Rattus norvegicus: one gene and its partners. The protein of the gene in region 1 purifies or fractionates together with the protein of each later gene. This does not show direct contact. Links are inferred from orthologs where the notes say so. Each region holds a gene or a part of one and is shown in the gene's direction. Other genes may lie near its edges.

What was found.
Region 2: the proteins of Cdh2 (region 1) and Jup purify together in Homo sapiens (co-immunoprecipitation; 4 studies listed by BioGRID and IntAct, with this or other methods). This does not show direct contact. The link is inferred for Rattus norvegicus from reciprocal best matches to the Homo sapiens genes CDH2 and JUP.
Region 3: the proteins of Cdh2 (region 1) and Ctnna1 purify together in Homo sapiens (affinity purification with mass spectrometry; 4 studies listed by BioGRID and IntAct, with this or other methods). This does not show direct contact. The link is inferred for Rattus norvegicus from reciprocal best matches to the Homo sapiens genes CDH2 and CTNNA1.
Region 4: the proteins of Cdh2 (region 1) and Ctnnd1 purify together in Homo sapiens (affinity purification with western blotting; 6 studies listed by BioGRID and IntAct, with this or other methods). This does not show direct contact. The link is inferred for Rattus norvegicus from reciprocal best matches to the Homo sapiens genes CDH2 and CTNND1.

Annotation. Positions count from the first base shown.
Region 1 is NC_086036.1:8,087,249-8,090,812, reverse strand, and holds part of Cdh2 (cadherin-2 precursor), read left to right. Parts: intron 1-2,305; coding exon 2,306-2,448; intron 2,449-3,564. UniProt on the Homo sapiens protein: Calcium-dependent cell adhesion protein; preferentially mediates homotypic cell-cell adhesion by dimerization with a CDH2 chain from another cell. Cadherins may thus contribute to the sorting of heterogeneous cell types.
Region 2 is NC_086028.1:85,813,914-85,817,477, reverse strand, and holds part of Jup (junction plakoglobin), read left to right. Parts: intron 1-1,065; 5' UTR 1,066-1,070; coding exon 1,071-1,278; intron 1,279-1,521; exon of another isoform or gene 1,522-2,086; intron 2,087-3,564. UniProt on the Homo sapiens protein: Common junctional plaque protein. The membrane-associated plaques are architectural elements in an important strategic position to influence the arrangement and function of both the cytoskeleton and the cells within the tissue.
Region 3 is NC_086036.1:27,001,119-27,005,408, forward strand, and holds the start of Ctnna1 (catenin alpha-1), read left to right. Parts: upstream 1-1,481; 5' UTR 1,482-1,547; intron 1,548-1,722; exon of another isoform or gene 1,723-2,056; intron 2,057-4,290. UniProt on the Homo sapiens protein: Associates with the cytoplasmic domain of a variety of cadherins. The association of catenins to cadherins produces a complex which is linked to the actin filament network, and which seems to be of primary importance for cadherins cell-adhesion properties.
Region 4 is NC_086021.1:90,113,667-90,117,230, reverse strand, and holds part of Ctnnd1 (catenin delta-1), read left to right. Parts: intron 1-759; exon of another isoform or gene 760-877; intron 878-2,484; 5' UTR 2,485-2,578; coding exon 2,579-2,773; intron 2,774-3,564. UniProt on the Homo sapiens protein: Key regulator of cell-cell adhesion that associates with and regulates the cell adhesion properties of both C-, E- and N-cadherins, being critical for their surface stability.

The DNA of each region.
Region 1 (3,564 bases):
ATTTCATGCACAGATTCACATGCATCCCTAGGCCCTTCCCCTCCCCCTCCTCCCAGTTTCTCCTATTGCATTTCCTTCCCACTTTCACGTTTCATAACCACTCTGTTTTATAACCACTGGGTCCAGTTTGCTCTCTCTGTACATGCATGGCTATAGAGCCATCCACTGCAGCATGAGATGCCTACCTGGAGAGCTGCATTCCTAAAGAAAACTCACGATTGAAGTCTTACAGAAAATACTTTTTATTTTTTGAGATTAAAAAAAAAGCTACAAAAATAGGTTTCTTCAGTCCTCAGCACCCATGGAAAGATCAAATGGAGACATACATGTTTCCTGAAATAATTTTAGATTCTCTGGTGTATTTCCTTCGTAGGGCATCCATGACTTTATTAGGTTAAAAATACAAGACTGCATCTATTCATATGTTAGTAGAAGGAAAATCTTCCTTCTACTGTTCTGTCTTTTTCGTTAAAAATATCAATTATTTAGCCTACACTTTTGTATCAAACACTTAAAAAAGCAACACAGTGAATTAACAGGGAAGCTTCAGGAAATTACAAGCTCTCTCTTCTCCACACGTCCAGCCTAATGAGAACATATGCCAGACCAAAATGGGCCAACGGATGCTGTTCACCCCATACCTGTACAGCAAACCTATAAGATGTGTAATACGGTTCCAACCTCAGCAAAACCTAATGTATCCCGAGGTGGGACCGGGTGACTGACAGCTGCTCCATCCAACTGTTCTCTGTAGTGGCTGAAGTTAACTTTAAAATTAACTCGTAAGTTGGTTTAAGTGCTTTCAGGATGACTGCTGACAGATGACCACTCCAAGTCCCCAGTCCTCCATACCCAGAAATCAGGACAGTTAAATGGCTAATTGGTAGGCGCATTCAAATCCTGTAGACTTCACCTCTCAAAATAGACCGTAGCGTGTCCGATCTACGTGTTAGTTCTCTGAGTTGTAAAACTTCAGCTCACGTTTTAAGGAGTTGAAAGAAGTGAATGTGCTATTCCAGATGAAAGCCTTGGGGCTCTTTGAAGGACACCATCTGAGGCTTTGCCCCACGTGGAGGATCCTGGTAGGAATGGGGTTTTATGAGATCTCTCCGGTGATGCTTTGTCTCTCCCATGGTAAGGTGGTGAAGCATTAGGAGTGCTTTGTGCTGTGTGTTTTAACTGCTAATTCCCCCCTAGGTTCTGTATGAGAGGGCTCCAGTTCAGAGAGTATATTTGATGCTCGAATTACCCTAGATGCACAGAACACATGAAACTCAAGAAGGATAACCAAAATGCGGATGCTTCACTCCTTCTTTAAAAGGGGAACAAGAATACCCTTGGGAGGGAATAGGGAGGCAAAGTTTAGAACAGAGGCTGAAGGAACACTCATTCAGAGACTGCCCCACATGTGGCCCACACATATACAGCCACCAAACTAGATAAGATGGATGAAGCAAAGAAGTGCAGGCTGACAGGAACCGGATGTAGATCTCTCCTGAGAGACACAGCCAGAATACAGCAAATACATAGGCGAATGCCAGCAGCAAACCACTGAACTGAGAACAGGACCCCCGTTGAAGGAATCAGAGAAAGGACTGAAAGAGCTTGAAGGGGCTTGAGACCCCATATGAACAACAATGCCAAGCAACCAGAGCTTCCAGGGACTAAGCCACTACCTAAAGACTATACATGGACTGACCCTGGACTCTGACCTCATAGGTAGCAATGAATATCCTAGTAAGATCACCAGTGGAAGGGGAAGCCCTTGGTCCTGCCAAGGTTGGACCCCCAGTGAATGGGATTGTTGGGGGGGGGCGGTAATAGGGGGAGGATGGACAGGGGGAGGGGCTAGGAGGATAATGGCCCAGAAACCGGGAAAGGGAATAACAATCGAAATGTAAATAAGAAACACCCAAGTTAATAAAGCTGAAATAAAGAAAAAGAAAAAATATGGAGAGTGTATTTGAGCCCTATTGTCAGTACCCATGTTATGAATTGAAGTAGGCAAGGGCCTGAACTAAGGGTAGCTAAATCTTCCCTCAGCTCACCACAGGGAGACTGTGTACCATGTCTTACCCAGAAAGCTTTGCAGACCACGTTGCTGTGCTTTCGATGCGTACCTCCCGAAATCACTGCCACGGACTTAACATTTCTATCTTAAATTCTGTGTCTGCTTGTCACCTACAGCCATGCAAATCAACGAGGGCTTTGCCTTTTTGTAATTAAACCTGTAAAATTTACAGAGGCTTGATTTGCTAAGTTTCTGGTCAAAAAGTGTTTGAGCTGCTGCACTTTCGTTTTGCAGATACACAAAGTTATCTGACCCTGCCAACTGGCTGAAAATAGACCCTGTGAACGGGCAGATCACCACTATCGCTGTTCTGGACAGAGAGTCGCCAAATGTCAAAAACAACATCTATAATGCTACCTTCCTTGCTTCTGACAATGGTATGTAATTAAATAGATTTGTTGGGTCGTCTTTGTGGGTTAAAGAGAGCAGTGCCTTTTGTGCTGATGAAAGGATTAAGACTTTCCACAGTGCTAAAGTACACAGAAAGCAGACCTTTGCTCTCTCAAGGTTCTAAAGCTCTGTTTTGTCTTGAAGCCCCAAATTTTCTTCCCTTGTCCCACTTGCTCTGTGTAAAGTACTTCTCTGCCATCTCTGTGACGTACTCTGTGTGTATGGATGGCTTCTATAGTGGGCTGGCATTGAGATCATGGGCCTCCTTGTTCTCCTGCCCTGACAGACAGACAGATGCCCTGTAAACTAGAGGTGAAGTCTAACTTCAGTGTTCCCAGAATGTGGTGTTATATGTATGTGTGTGTATATATATATACTCTTCATGTGTTTCTTTCTCTAGGCTTTTTCTCTGACGAATTCCTGCAATGTGCTAGAAAACTTATTTTTGTGCATATTCAGAAAATGAATATAAGAGCCTTGTGAAAGGGTTGGTTTTGAAACGTATTTTGACACTTTTTCTTTCCCAATGTGAATATCTGCTGGGTCAGAGTTGGTTGAAATGGATAAGTATGTTCTCTTAAATGTCTAAAATAAGGAGAACATACACAAATGCAAAATGACAGCTTTGCTAGCTCTCACACATGTCCAGCCTCGGCTCTTCTATAGACCAGGATGGCCTCAAACTTGAGACCCATCCCCTCCCTCTGCCTCCCAAGTGCCAGGATAGAAGGCATGCACCACTGCCCGGCAGTCCAGGTCTTCATTCAACTCTGTTAACTTTGTGTTGATTTTGTGGAATAAATGTATAGTGGAATTAATAGCTAATTTCCACTCCTTGAAGAATTGTCCAAATAAAGCTTTTAAAGCAGTGCTTGGCACAAGCTAATATTCACAGAAATATTTCTGTCATTGTTCATACTTCCAAAATGGAATCACAACCATATTTTAAAATATTTTTAGCATTAGACTATGAATGTATTTGCTTGTTGAAAAAATACGAGCTTCAAATTTGTGGTCAAGATGTGCAGTTTTAAAACATTGTGGTGATGAGACCCACTTGCATGAACAGCTATGAAAAAAATTGTGTTTTGCCCCAGATGAGT
Region 2 (3,564 bases), on another chromosome or scaffold:
CGTGACTGCCTGTATGTAGGTAGTGGTAGTTTCTGAGCCCATGACAGTGGGGCCAAACAGACCAAACAAGCCCACATCAGGTAGGTGCAGATGCCCGTGAGCCTTAAAGTGACCCCAAGTCCTCAGAACAGGGTGAGAGACCTCAAGAGCAGTGACCCCCCCTCCCCAAGAGGCCTGCTCCACTCCGCTCTTCTAGCCCGGGTTCTAGAAAGTGGATGGTGAACGAACACCCTAGGGGTGATGCAGTTAGGACAGCAACAACCTGGTCCCCAATAGTAGACCCCCTACTAAGTGCTGTCACCATAGAGAGTCCTTCCCAAGCACCATCCTCACAGCAGTTCATCGAGTGTGGTGGAACCTGACTTTGAAGCCGTTGGCACCCAACGAGAGGTGGATTGGTGAGGGAGTCGTTTGCCAAGATTTGAACTGGTCCGTAGAGCTCAGAATGCTGGGAGCTGGAAGAGACGAAGCCCTGGTTACGCTTCCTCCCTTAGCCCTTCTGGAATAGGAGATTCAGGAACTCTGAGGAAGCCCTGGGCGGCCCAGAGGAACCTGTCAGACAGCTTCCCTGCCCCACCCAGTTTCTCATCCAATGGCTGATAGTTTGTTATAGCCTCTGCACCCTTTCCCAGGGAGCTCTAGTGGAGCGAGAGCAGGTCTGCAGAGCCCAGCAGCTGTCTGAAACCCTTAGCTCCTTTTCCACTGGCAATGTTGGGGTTGGGGCAGGCTGGCGAGCCCTGGGCTGGGCTGGAGGGATCTGACTGTTTCCTGTCTTCACACCAGAGCTGGAGCTTGCAAAAACCCAGAGCTTATTCCTAATGGTCCCCCTGCAGCCCTACTATGCCCCAAGCCATCTTCTGGTCAGGCAGGCCCATTTTGGGTTGGGTTCCCTTTTACTTCACCCCTGTACCTTGCTGTCTGTAACCCTCTGAGGCCCTTGAGGCTATGATAGGGCTTCAGGAGAAGGGACGATATCAGGGATGGGGGCTACAGCTGAGTTGGAACTGGAGGTAATGGTGTCTCTCTAGGCAGCTGACATTGTGCTCCTGTTTTTGTCTCCAACAGCCACGATGGAGGTGATGAACCTTATTGAACAGCCCATCAAGGTGACGGAGTGGCAGCAGACGTACACCTATGACTCGGGCATCCACTCCGGTGTCAATACCTGTGTGCCCTCTGTCAGCAGCAAGGGCCTCCTCGATGAGGATGACACCTGCGGCAGACAGTACACACTCAAGAAAACTACCACCTACACACAAGGGGTGCCACAGAGCCAAGGTCTGGACTCCCTTTAGATTTTTCAATCTGGGTTCTCTGCATAGCCCCGGCTGTCCTGGAACACCTCTGTAGATCAGGCTGGTTTTGAACTCACAGAGATCTGCCTGCCTCTGCCTCCCCTGTGCTGGAATTAAAGGCGTGCACCACCATGCCCGGCCGGCTTCACAGTTCCCACTCTTGAGGACTCGGGAAGTCTGAAGGGACCGCGTGACTACCCAAAGAGAGATAGAGAAGTCGCCCCAGTGAATTCCGAATGTGTTGGACGTCACAGGGTGCCATTGGAGCCCAGAGTTCTTGGCTTCTGGGGTCTTAGAAATGTAATAAGGAGATTTTATTGATAGCCCTTGGGGTGGGGGTTGGAGAGACCTGGAGATTACTGGAAAGACATATTCTTTTCACTCCAGAAACTTCATGTCTGATGAGAAAGACAGGGAACAACTTGCCCCACCCCCCAGTCTGGTGGAAGAGTCACAGTGTTCAAGCTTAGACTGGGCTAGCACTGTACTGAGGACAGGCATGGGGGAGCTGATTCAGTTGTGGGGTCCCATCACAAAGGCAAATACTCTACCAGTCCAAGTGTCCCATTCCCTTCTGGGACAAAGGTGCACATGGCTTTAGGACTGTCATTTGCAGATGCCCCCAGGGCCCTAAATGTCCCAGAAGATGGGATTTGAGGCCTGGACAGTTGCAGGATGAGTTGTGACTGGTTAGGGCTCTATGAACTGAGCCTCTGTGTCCCAGGTCTCCTTCTTGGCTGTGCTGGGAGGAACCTCTCTGTGTCCAGTTAGGCCAGGTGATTTCCTAGGAGCTAAAGGAAAGCGTATATAGGTAGGAGAGCCCTGTGGGCAGCCTCTCTTTCCCCATAGAGAATGGCCTTGTTCCTGCCTCTCTACTTACTAGGGCACTGGGTCATTTGCTAAGCAGGGCTATATGGGACTTTTTCTTGAGTTGCTACTTTGTGGAAAGTGAGTTGTATCATTAGACTGATGAAGTTTAACTTGTTTAATCTCTTGACTGACTACACTGGTGGAGGAAGAGTGAGGCTCTGGGCTCCTGAGTCCGCTGCTTTTATGACCTCGCTCTCCAGTGTCCTGCAAAGTGGAGACAGTGTTGTACTTGCCTTGTGAGCTCATTGTTGACAGATTAAATAAGCAGGAGGAAGGTGTTTAACACAGTGTCTGGCACAAGTACTCCACCATTAGCCATTCCTCTTCGTCATTTATGTGTGTGGGTCTACGTGAACATATGCACAAATGTGTGTGAGGGAGACCCCTGGAGGCCAGAAAGAGTCCTTTGGGACTGTGTAGCCAAGGGTGCCCTTCAACTTCCTTTTGCTGCCACTTCTGAAGTAGTGTAATTGTGTGAGAGTGCCACCGTGCCTGTTTTTTTTTTTTTAAGATTTATTTATTGATTATATATGAGTACACTGTCGCTGTCTTCAGACACACCAGAAGAGAGCATCAGATCCCATTACAGATGGTTGTGAGCCACCATGTGGTTGCTGGGATTTGAACTCAGGACCTCTGGAAGAGCAGTCGGTGCTCTTAACCACTGAGCCACCGCTCCAGCCCTCCGTGCCTGTTTTTATCCACTGCTGGAAGCAGAACCTTGTCAGGCCAGCATTCTACCAGCTAAGCTACACATCCAACCAAAGCTGTTAGTAATTTATTTCTAAGCTGGCCATCGTAGCAAAAGTATATGATGTCCCAGCTATTTGGTAGGCCCGAGGCAGGAGGATTACAAGTACAAGATCTACCTGAGTACGAAGTAAGTTCAAAGCCAACTTGGGTAACTTAAAATATTTTTAGTTTTTTTTTTCTTTTTTTTTTTTTCGGAGCTGGGGACCGAACCCAGGGCCTTGCGCTTGCTAGGCAAGCGCTCTACCACTGGGCTAAATCCCCAACCCCATATTTTTAGTTTTTTAAGCGAATGAATGCGTGCCTGCATGTCTGTGAAGTGTGTGTACCAAATGGGTGCAGTGCTTATGGTGGCCAGAAGAGGGCGCCCGAACCTGGAACTGGAGTTAGATAGGGCTGTGAGCCGCCATGTAGGCGCTAGGAATAGACCCTGTGTCCTCTCCGAGAGTAAGTAGCACGTGCTCTTAATGGCGGAACCGTTTCTCTGGCCCCTAATTTTTTTTTTAAAGGCTGGGAATACAGCTCAGTGGTTAGAGTGCTTGCTGAGCAAGTGTGTGTCCCGACCTTTACTTCCTAGTACTGCACTGCAATAAAAACGTTGCCGCGGTCATTTTTGTAATAATAGGGTGTCAGTCTTTTAAAAGCAAGT
Region 3 (4,290 bases), about 19 Mb from region 1:
AACCCCCTTTGAGAAAGGTTCTTTCTAGTGGTAATCCTTGAGTCTTGCTTTAGCCTCCCAAGTACTGGAATCATAGCTAGGCCAAACAAATATTTATTATGTAATCATTACGTTCTGACATAGTCAAGTGAAGTAAGGGGAAAGCATAGACACTGCAGTCAGAGAGGACTATGGGAGGCAAAACCCCAAAGGTAGAAACAGAATAAGTGGTTGGACAAGAATGGCCTTGTGAAGGTATGTCTTTTTTGTTTTTGTTTTTGTAGTGCTGAAGACTAAATCCAGGGTATACTAGGCAAGCACTTTATCACCGAGACATCTCCAATTGTCTTTTCTTAAAATTCAAATTATTATGTGTTCTATGTACATGGGTGGATATGCCATCTGTACCAGTGTGGAAGTTATAGGGCAACTCTGTGGACTTCATTCTGTCTTTCCACAACTCAGGTTGCGAGGATAGTTGTTGGCAGAGTGGCAAACACCTTTACCCACAGAGCCATCTCTCTCATTTTCCCACTCTTTTTAAGAGGCTCTAAAAGACCAGGTGTAATGGTGCAGACCTATAATATAATCTCAGGAGTTGCGGGGGTGTGCAGGAGGATTAGGAATTCAGGGTAAATTGGCACTTGGGTAAATTCAATCCCCAGGATCCACATAGTGAAAGAGAAACCGCACGTCTTGATTTCCACACAAGCTCAGAAACTCACGGATCAGAGATTGGCCTGTCTCTGCCTCCGGAACACTGAGACTAAAAACATTGCTGTAATAATAAAAAAAAGTTTTTAGGTCATTCTTTCTTACACAGCCAGTTGGAAACCGGCCTGAGCTATGTAAGACCCTACTTCAAAAATAAAATAACACAACAAAACAAACACCACAAAACAAAAGAAAAAAAGACCAAAACAGATCCTGAGGTTCCCGTTCCACTGTGCCCGGAGAGGTGGAACTTTTACTTGGTGTGTTTCTTCTCCTAAAGCAAAGCAGAAGGTTGCCCCCTTTTCTGGACGCCTTGGACTAGGATACGGGGTACTTGGTCACAGCAGTGCGTTCCGCGAACCCTGCGTCGCCGCGCGGTCTCCGGGAGCCGGACGGGGCGGGGCCTTCCGGGGCCGCGCCCCGAGACTCACCTGAGCCGGGAGCCGTGACTCACCTGCCCTCCGCCCGCCTTTCCCCGCCGCGGGCTGTTCCCCGAGTCTCCGCCCCTCCTTCCCGTCGGGGGTCCGGGGTCTCCGTGCCCAAAGGCCATACAAAAAGGACTTCTGGGGGTCCGGGCCTGGAGTTGCCAGGCTACCTTCCGGGTGGGAGGCTCTCCCTAGAAAGCGCCGGCTGCGCCAGGCCGGGACCAGCGGTGAGGAGGCCTCGGGAGGCGCCGGGAAGAGCGCGCGGAGGGAGGTGCCGGGAAGGGCGGGCGCGGCGCGGCGCGGGGCGGGCCGGGGGCGGGGGCGCAGGGCGGCCCATTTCCTCCTGGGAGCCGGACGGGCGGGAGACAAAGCGGTGGCCGTCGGCTTGGCGCCTCAGGAGTCGTCCAGCGCTCGCCCCGTTCGCCGCAGGTAACTCTTCGTACCTTCCCTCGGGGTGCGCGGGGCCCCCTGGTGGGGCGCGGGTCTCCTCAGGCCGGGGTCCCGGGTGTCCGGCTCGGGCTTTCGGCCGCCGCCGCCCTGGAGCGTCGGGTTAGGGCGGCTTCCCTGAGCAGCCTGGGCCTGGGCGGGCGGAGCCCGACGCTCGGGAAGCAGGGCGACCGCCGGGGCGCTTCCTTGGAAAACTTTCTCCCTCTTTCTAAACTTTGTTCCCGGAGCAGGGAGCGCGCGCGGGATCGGCGTCGCGCCTCAGGCCGTCTCCCTCACTGAGGGACAACCGCGGCGTGTTCCTGGCGGTCGGGCTGTGGGGCGCTTTAGGGACGCGATTGTTTCGAGGATTTGTGTCGGCCACTCCCCTCCCCCTGCCCGCGGCTGAAACTTGGTGGTTTGCGGGACTAGAGGTCGGAGGAGCGGACATTCCAGCCCGACCCATGGAGAATGGAAGTCGTAGTTTCCTGTTCTCCAGCGCTCTTTTCCTTAAGGTGCGCCACACCCGTGTGGACTTGTGGCATGGAGTTTAATTTTTATCTTAAAATTACTCAGCCTCTTTTGCTGCTAAACCTGACTGACATTACTCTTAGTTTTCAGGAGTAGCATTAGAGTTACTAACATTTGATTACTGAGAGCGGATCTTGCTAACTAAGTAGCCCAGTCTGACCTGGATCGCTCGGTTTCCCTGCCTCAGAATCCCGAGGGCGGGCATCGCCAGCCTGCGATGTCAATGACCCGCCTTTCGACTTTAAAAGGAACTTGTTAATATGTGTGTAGAACTTGGGGGGCGGGGATGTTGTTGACTGGATTTGTAACCTTGGTTTTCAAGCAGTGGCCACCCCAATAATTCAGTGAGCGGTTGGCTCAAATCGAGGATTGATACTTCTGTGCCTTCATAACGTTTGGTTTTATTTTAAGTGTGCGTGTGTGTGTGTGTGTGTGTGTGTGTGTGTGTGTCTATGGAACTTAGAATAATTTATGCTGTAAATCTGTTTCATCATTGTTTTGCATCTTTTAGGTGTTTTAAGAAGGTTATTTTGTGTTTAGCGTTGGTTTTTAAAGACTACTGGTGGATGTTACCTCATGAAATGGAATTTGTTTTGTTTTACAAAAGGATTGAGTGGGGAAATAATTGGTGGCCTCTGTTTAATTGTTCATACTTCCTGCCTTAAACTAAGCTAAAAAAAAAAAAAAAAAAAAGACCAGGTTTTTAAAATTCTCTTTGAGGCCTGGAAGCTTCTCAAGTGTCATATCCTTTTTTCTTTTTCCATTCTGGATCTCACTGTGAAGCCTCAAACTAGCTTAAGCTTCCTGAGTGTTGGGGTTTAGATGTGTGCCATCACACCTGTCTGGGTCATATTGTATAATAATGCAAACAACAGAAACTTGTGGGAGCATGGTTGGGGGTGTTAACTAGGTTTATAAGCTGTTCTGGAAGGTGGTGGCTTTTGAACTGGGTGAAGCATGAGTTGAAGTAATGCGACAGAAGGAATAGGGAAATCTAAAAGGGCATTTAAGTGGAATGGTGATATTCTGGTTTTTTCCCCCCTTTACTTTTCAACCCCTCCTTTTCTTGCATATGATTCTAACCAAATATATTGGTTTCCAATATCAGTTGTGTGACACCCATCTCCATTCCCATTAGAAACATTTTATATGGTGATCAGAGATGAAGGGTGGCTTTTTTCCCCTCCTAGTTGAGTATCACTCACCGCCTTGTGCCTTTTCTCATCAAACCCCACACTGTTGTATTGGAGAACAAACCTAGAGCTGTGCTTGCTAGGCATGTGCTCTATATTTGAGCTGCACACCCCTACCTCTGTCATCAACCTTAGCCGCAAACGTCCAGTTTTTTATTTTGAGTGTAGTTTCTCTCCTGACCCACATGGGTCTCCTTATATCTTGTAATTTTAAAGAAAGTCACATTAGTGATAGTACAGCTAGCTCTCCCTGCTTGTTGAAGGTGTCGGTGGTTGTGTACTGGCTGAGACCTAGACAGGATGAAGGAATAGGATCCGAAGCAGGTGTAAGTAGCCTGAGCATTGGCTAGGCATTTGGAGGCCTACAGGTTTAGAGGAGATCTGTTTATTGTTAGTACTGAAGTAGGGAGAAGGTTGCCAGGGAAGGCAAAGGCCAGGTCACAGATTTAGATTTTATTCTAAAACTGTAAGATGATATAGGGCTTTCACGATCTGAACATTGTTTTATTCCTTGCTGGTGCTTAGAGAAAATTTGAATTGGTGTGTGTGTAAAGGCAAGGAGTTAGTGGGGAAGGTCATGTGGGTAAAGGTGACCTGGATGAGTGGAAAGGATCCAGATACAAATTGGGTAGAGGTGGCATCCAGGCATCTGGGTAAAGCTTCTGAAGCATTGAACTCTTTTCTCAAGAGCCAGCGTTTTCATTTCTGGTAGCAAATTTTGTGTTTAAGTTTTTTAGTAACTTCTGTTTGCGTTGTAACTTATTGATAGCCCTGTTTGCAGGCCTTGTTGGGAAGTGAGCCCTGTAAATCTATTCAAGGCAAGGCTCATGCCCTCTCCAACCTTTGGTTGGTATCTGGTAAGGAGGGCAAATTAGATGCTGCACTGAATGAAGGAGGAAGAAAGTCTTTCTCAGTCTAAGCTTAGGGCAGTCAATGACAGATGAGGTAATTGATTACAGTCTAACTGCTGTTCAGGGCAACTGGAGCTTTCTTCAACCTTGCCCTGCCCAAATCTAGTCAGGGAC
Region 4 (3,564 bases), on another chromosome or scaffold:
TGAGTGGCCATTTGGAATGTGGAGTAGGAGTATGGGAAAGTGGCACTGGGGCATTGGGTATTGGGCTGAATGAGAACAGTGGTTGATAAATGATTGTGGGAGCCTAGGACTGGGTATAGGACGCATTTAGGGACAGTTCAATGTGTTCTCGGATTTAGTGACTGAACCAATTCAGTTTACTGGGCACCTGTTTATCAGTTTCCTCTAGGTACTCTTGCCTGCTGAATGCCGGATACATTTAAGGCAAACAGGCCCTAGCTTTTGTGTTTGGTGGGGCTCTGGGAAGCGTGGGAAACGGAGCCTGAGCAGAAGGCCCAGCCTAGGCTAGTCCCCACATGTCTTCCCCCCCATGACTATTACATTGGTTTCTCAATGTCTTTGTGGGCATGCTGGAACTGGGCTTTGAGGTTTCTGCCTTAAGGGTAGGAAGGAGGGGGAAGGGCATTCTAACAAATTTCACCCCCAAATCAGTTGCCTATGTGGCTTTATCTACATTGTACCCTGGTCTGGTTCTGCGTGGATTTACAAGTAGAGGAACTGCAGTGACAGTGCAGTCTGTGCTTTAATTAATCCTACATCCAAAGCCTAGATATCTGAACACAGCAAAGTTTAAAGGGTATTTGTTTCATTAAGCAACTCCAAGTTGTTTCTTAAATAACCCCCTTTCATTTCTAATACTCCCGTCACCCTCTTATATGTATGCAGTGGGTGTAGTTTATTTTCTTCCCATTCTCATTTTTCCTCCAAATATTTCTGCAGCTTTCTCCTTCCTGCTTGCTGCTTGCTGAGGTGGCTGGGATGCTTCCATGGTTTATCTGAATCTAGACTGGGCTATTCTCTGTGCTAAACCAATCAATTACGGGCCTTCTCTTAACAGGTGTGTATGGAATATATATTAAGAATTAAAAGTTATTTTAGGTGCCTTTTTCTCCCTTAGGTGTTTGGTGAGAAGTTAAGGGAATAAGAGAGAAAAAAATTCCTCCTAGTTTGCCATTCAACAGTATACATTTTATCTGTCTGTCTTATCTATCTATATGTCTGTCTGTCTACCTACCTACCTACCTACCTACCTACCTACCTACCTATCTATCTATCCTGCTTTTGAGACAGGATTTCTTTATGTAGTTCTGATTGTTCTGGAACTTGCTCTGTAGACCAGGCTGGCCTTGAACTCATAGTGAGCCATCTGCACCTGCCTCCCAAGTGCTGAGATTAAAGCTATGAGCTACTACACCTGGCCACAAAAACTTGAGACAAGATGTTGTTAAGTTGCCCAGGCTGGCCACAAATTTATGTAGGCTAGCCACAGAAGTTGTGATCTTCCACCTTCTGAGAAGGTGGGGTTGCAGGCCTGCACCACAGATGGCTTGAGGCAAAGCCTTTTTGTACAGTGTCTGAGGTTCTGTCACTGTTGTTCCCATTAGCATGTTTTGCCCTCTATCATGTAGTATAGTTTTGTGAGATAGAAAGGCCTCTTTACACATGTGTGAGACATGGAAGTTTAAGTTCTTTTGCCTTTCTATCTGGGAAGTTCTTCTATATTTCTTTTTTCCCTTTTCTTTTCCTTCTCTCTCTCTCCCCCTTCCTTCCTTCCTTTCTTTTCTTTTCTTTTCTTTTTTTTTTTTTTTGGCATGAGTATTGAAATATTGTTTTTTTTTTTTTAATTTTTTTTATTAACTTGAGTATTTCTTATATACATTTCGAGTGTTATTCCCTTTCCCGGTTTCCGGGCAAACATCCCCCTCCCCCCTCCCCTTCCTTATGGGTGTTCCCCTCCCAACCCTCCCCCCATTGCCGCCCTCCCCCCATAGACTAGTTCACTGGGTTCTTTTTTTTTTTTATTCCAAGACAGAGTTTCTCTCGGTATGTAGCCCTGGTTGTCCTGGAACTCTTTATCTGTGGACCAGGCTGGCCTCAAACTCACAGAGCTCTGCCTGCCTCTGCCTCCCAAGTGTTAACATTAGAAGCATGCACCTCCACCACTTAGCTAATATCTCCATTTCTTAACTGACATTTTCATTTATTATAATTTATCACTACAGCTACATTTATAGTGTTCAGGTTTGGGAGAGGTTAAGTAAAATTTGCGTTGTCCATTACTTGTAGAAGTAACTTGTCCTTGTACCCGGGAGTTAACTTTTATTAAGCTGATGCCTGCAAATATTTCCAGAGAAAAACAATCTAATTTTAATCCCACGCTATGGTGTCTCTGTCCTGCCAATAGTATAGAGACTTTGGTCAAACTGCCACCTTTTCTTTCAATAGGAAGGAGTTCGTAGAGTGTTAAAGAGGGAAGTAGGCGAAGGGTCCTTCCTATTGGAACAGACCTTGGTGATGGGCTCCCAAGCTTGGTTGGTGGTGGCTTGCTTTCTGCACTGCAGTAAAAACACAGAGGGCATCTTTGGCGCTGGGGATTAACAATTCTTCTGTCTTCTCTGACCTGTGATCTTTTCTCTTCTCTCTTACCCCTCCCCCCACCCCTAGTGTGAAGTGAGGGGACCTACTCCCTTCTTTCTACTCCCTCTGTGGTCCACCTTACTTTTTATCCTGCCCTGCGGCGGCTCCTCCCCTTACCTTCATGGACGACTCAGAGGTGGAGTCGACCGCCAGCATCTTGGCCTCTGTGAAAGAACAAGAGGCACAATTTGAGAAGCTGACCCGGGCGCTGGAGGAGGAGCGGCGCCATGTGTCGGCGCAACTGGAACGCGTCCGGGTCTCACCACAAGATGCCAACTCACTCATGGCCAACGGCACCCTCACCCGTCGGCATCAGGTAACCCTTTCTCCATCAGACCTGCAGGTAGGACGTTGGCATGGTTGCAACTGAGGCCTACAGATCCTTAATGAGATGCTACTGGCCCTGGGCTGTCCAGTGTTTACACTTGACGGTGAACTGTTCCAGGAATATTATAAATGTTGATTAAGAAATAAGGGATTTGTTACTGATCTGAGTTGGATGGACTTTAGAAACCCTTTGTGACTTCCTGTTTTGGATAGGGATGCAGTTCTAGTTATTTCTAGTTATGGTACTGTATTTTGTAGCTACACTCAGAGTCACTTCTGTTTTCCTTGAAATATCTTTTTTTCTCAGGGTGAAAAATTAGGAGAGTATATCTACTTAGTGGTTGGGGAAGTTGGGCATCTTGAGCTCCTAGCTCCAGTTCAATCTCAACTAGCGAACAATCTGTTCTCAGAAAGTGTTACAGTGTTCATAAATCCCCAATATTCATATTCCTTTCCCATATGTCCTTGTGTGCTTATTGTTGGGTGTGTAAACCATGTTTTGGAAGAAGAGATCATTGTTACTTTTGCTGGTTAGAGCTGGAGAGGGGGCATCATGCTATTATTTAACCCAGATAACCACAGGAGCAGCAGTAGTCTCAGGGTTGGCTGACTTAGATGTGACTTGGGAGGACTGGTGTTAGAAGTGAGAAGTATATTGTGTTCCCTAAGGTTTATGTCTGACTTTACTGTAATGTATCTGAGTGAATGTGCACGCACACATGCTGGGCACTGCTTGAGTAGACTGATCCTCTAGAGGTCTGAGTGGCATTAGAACAGGGC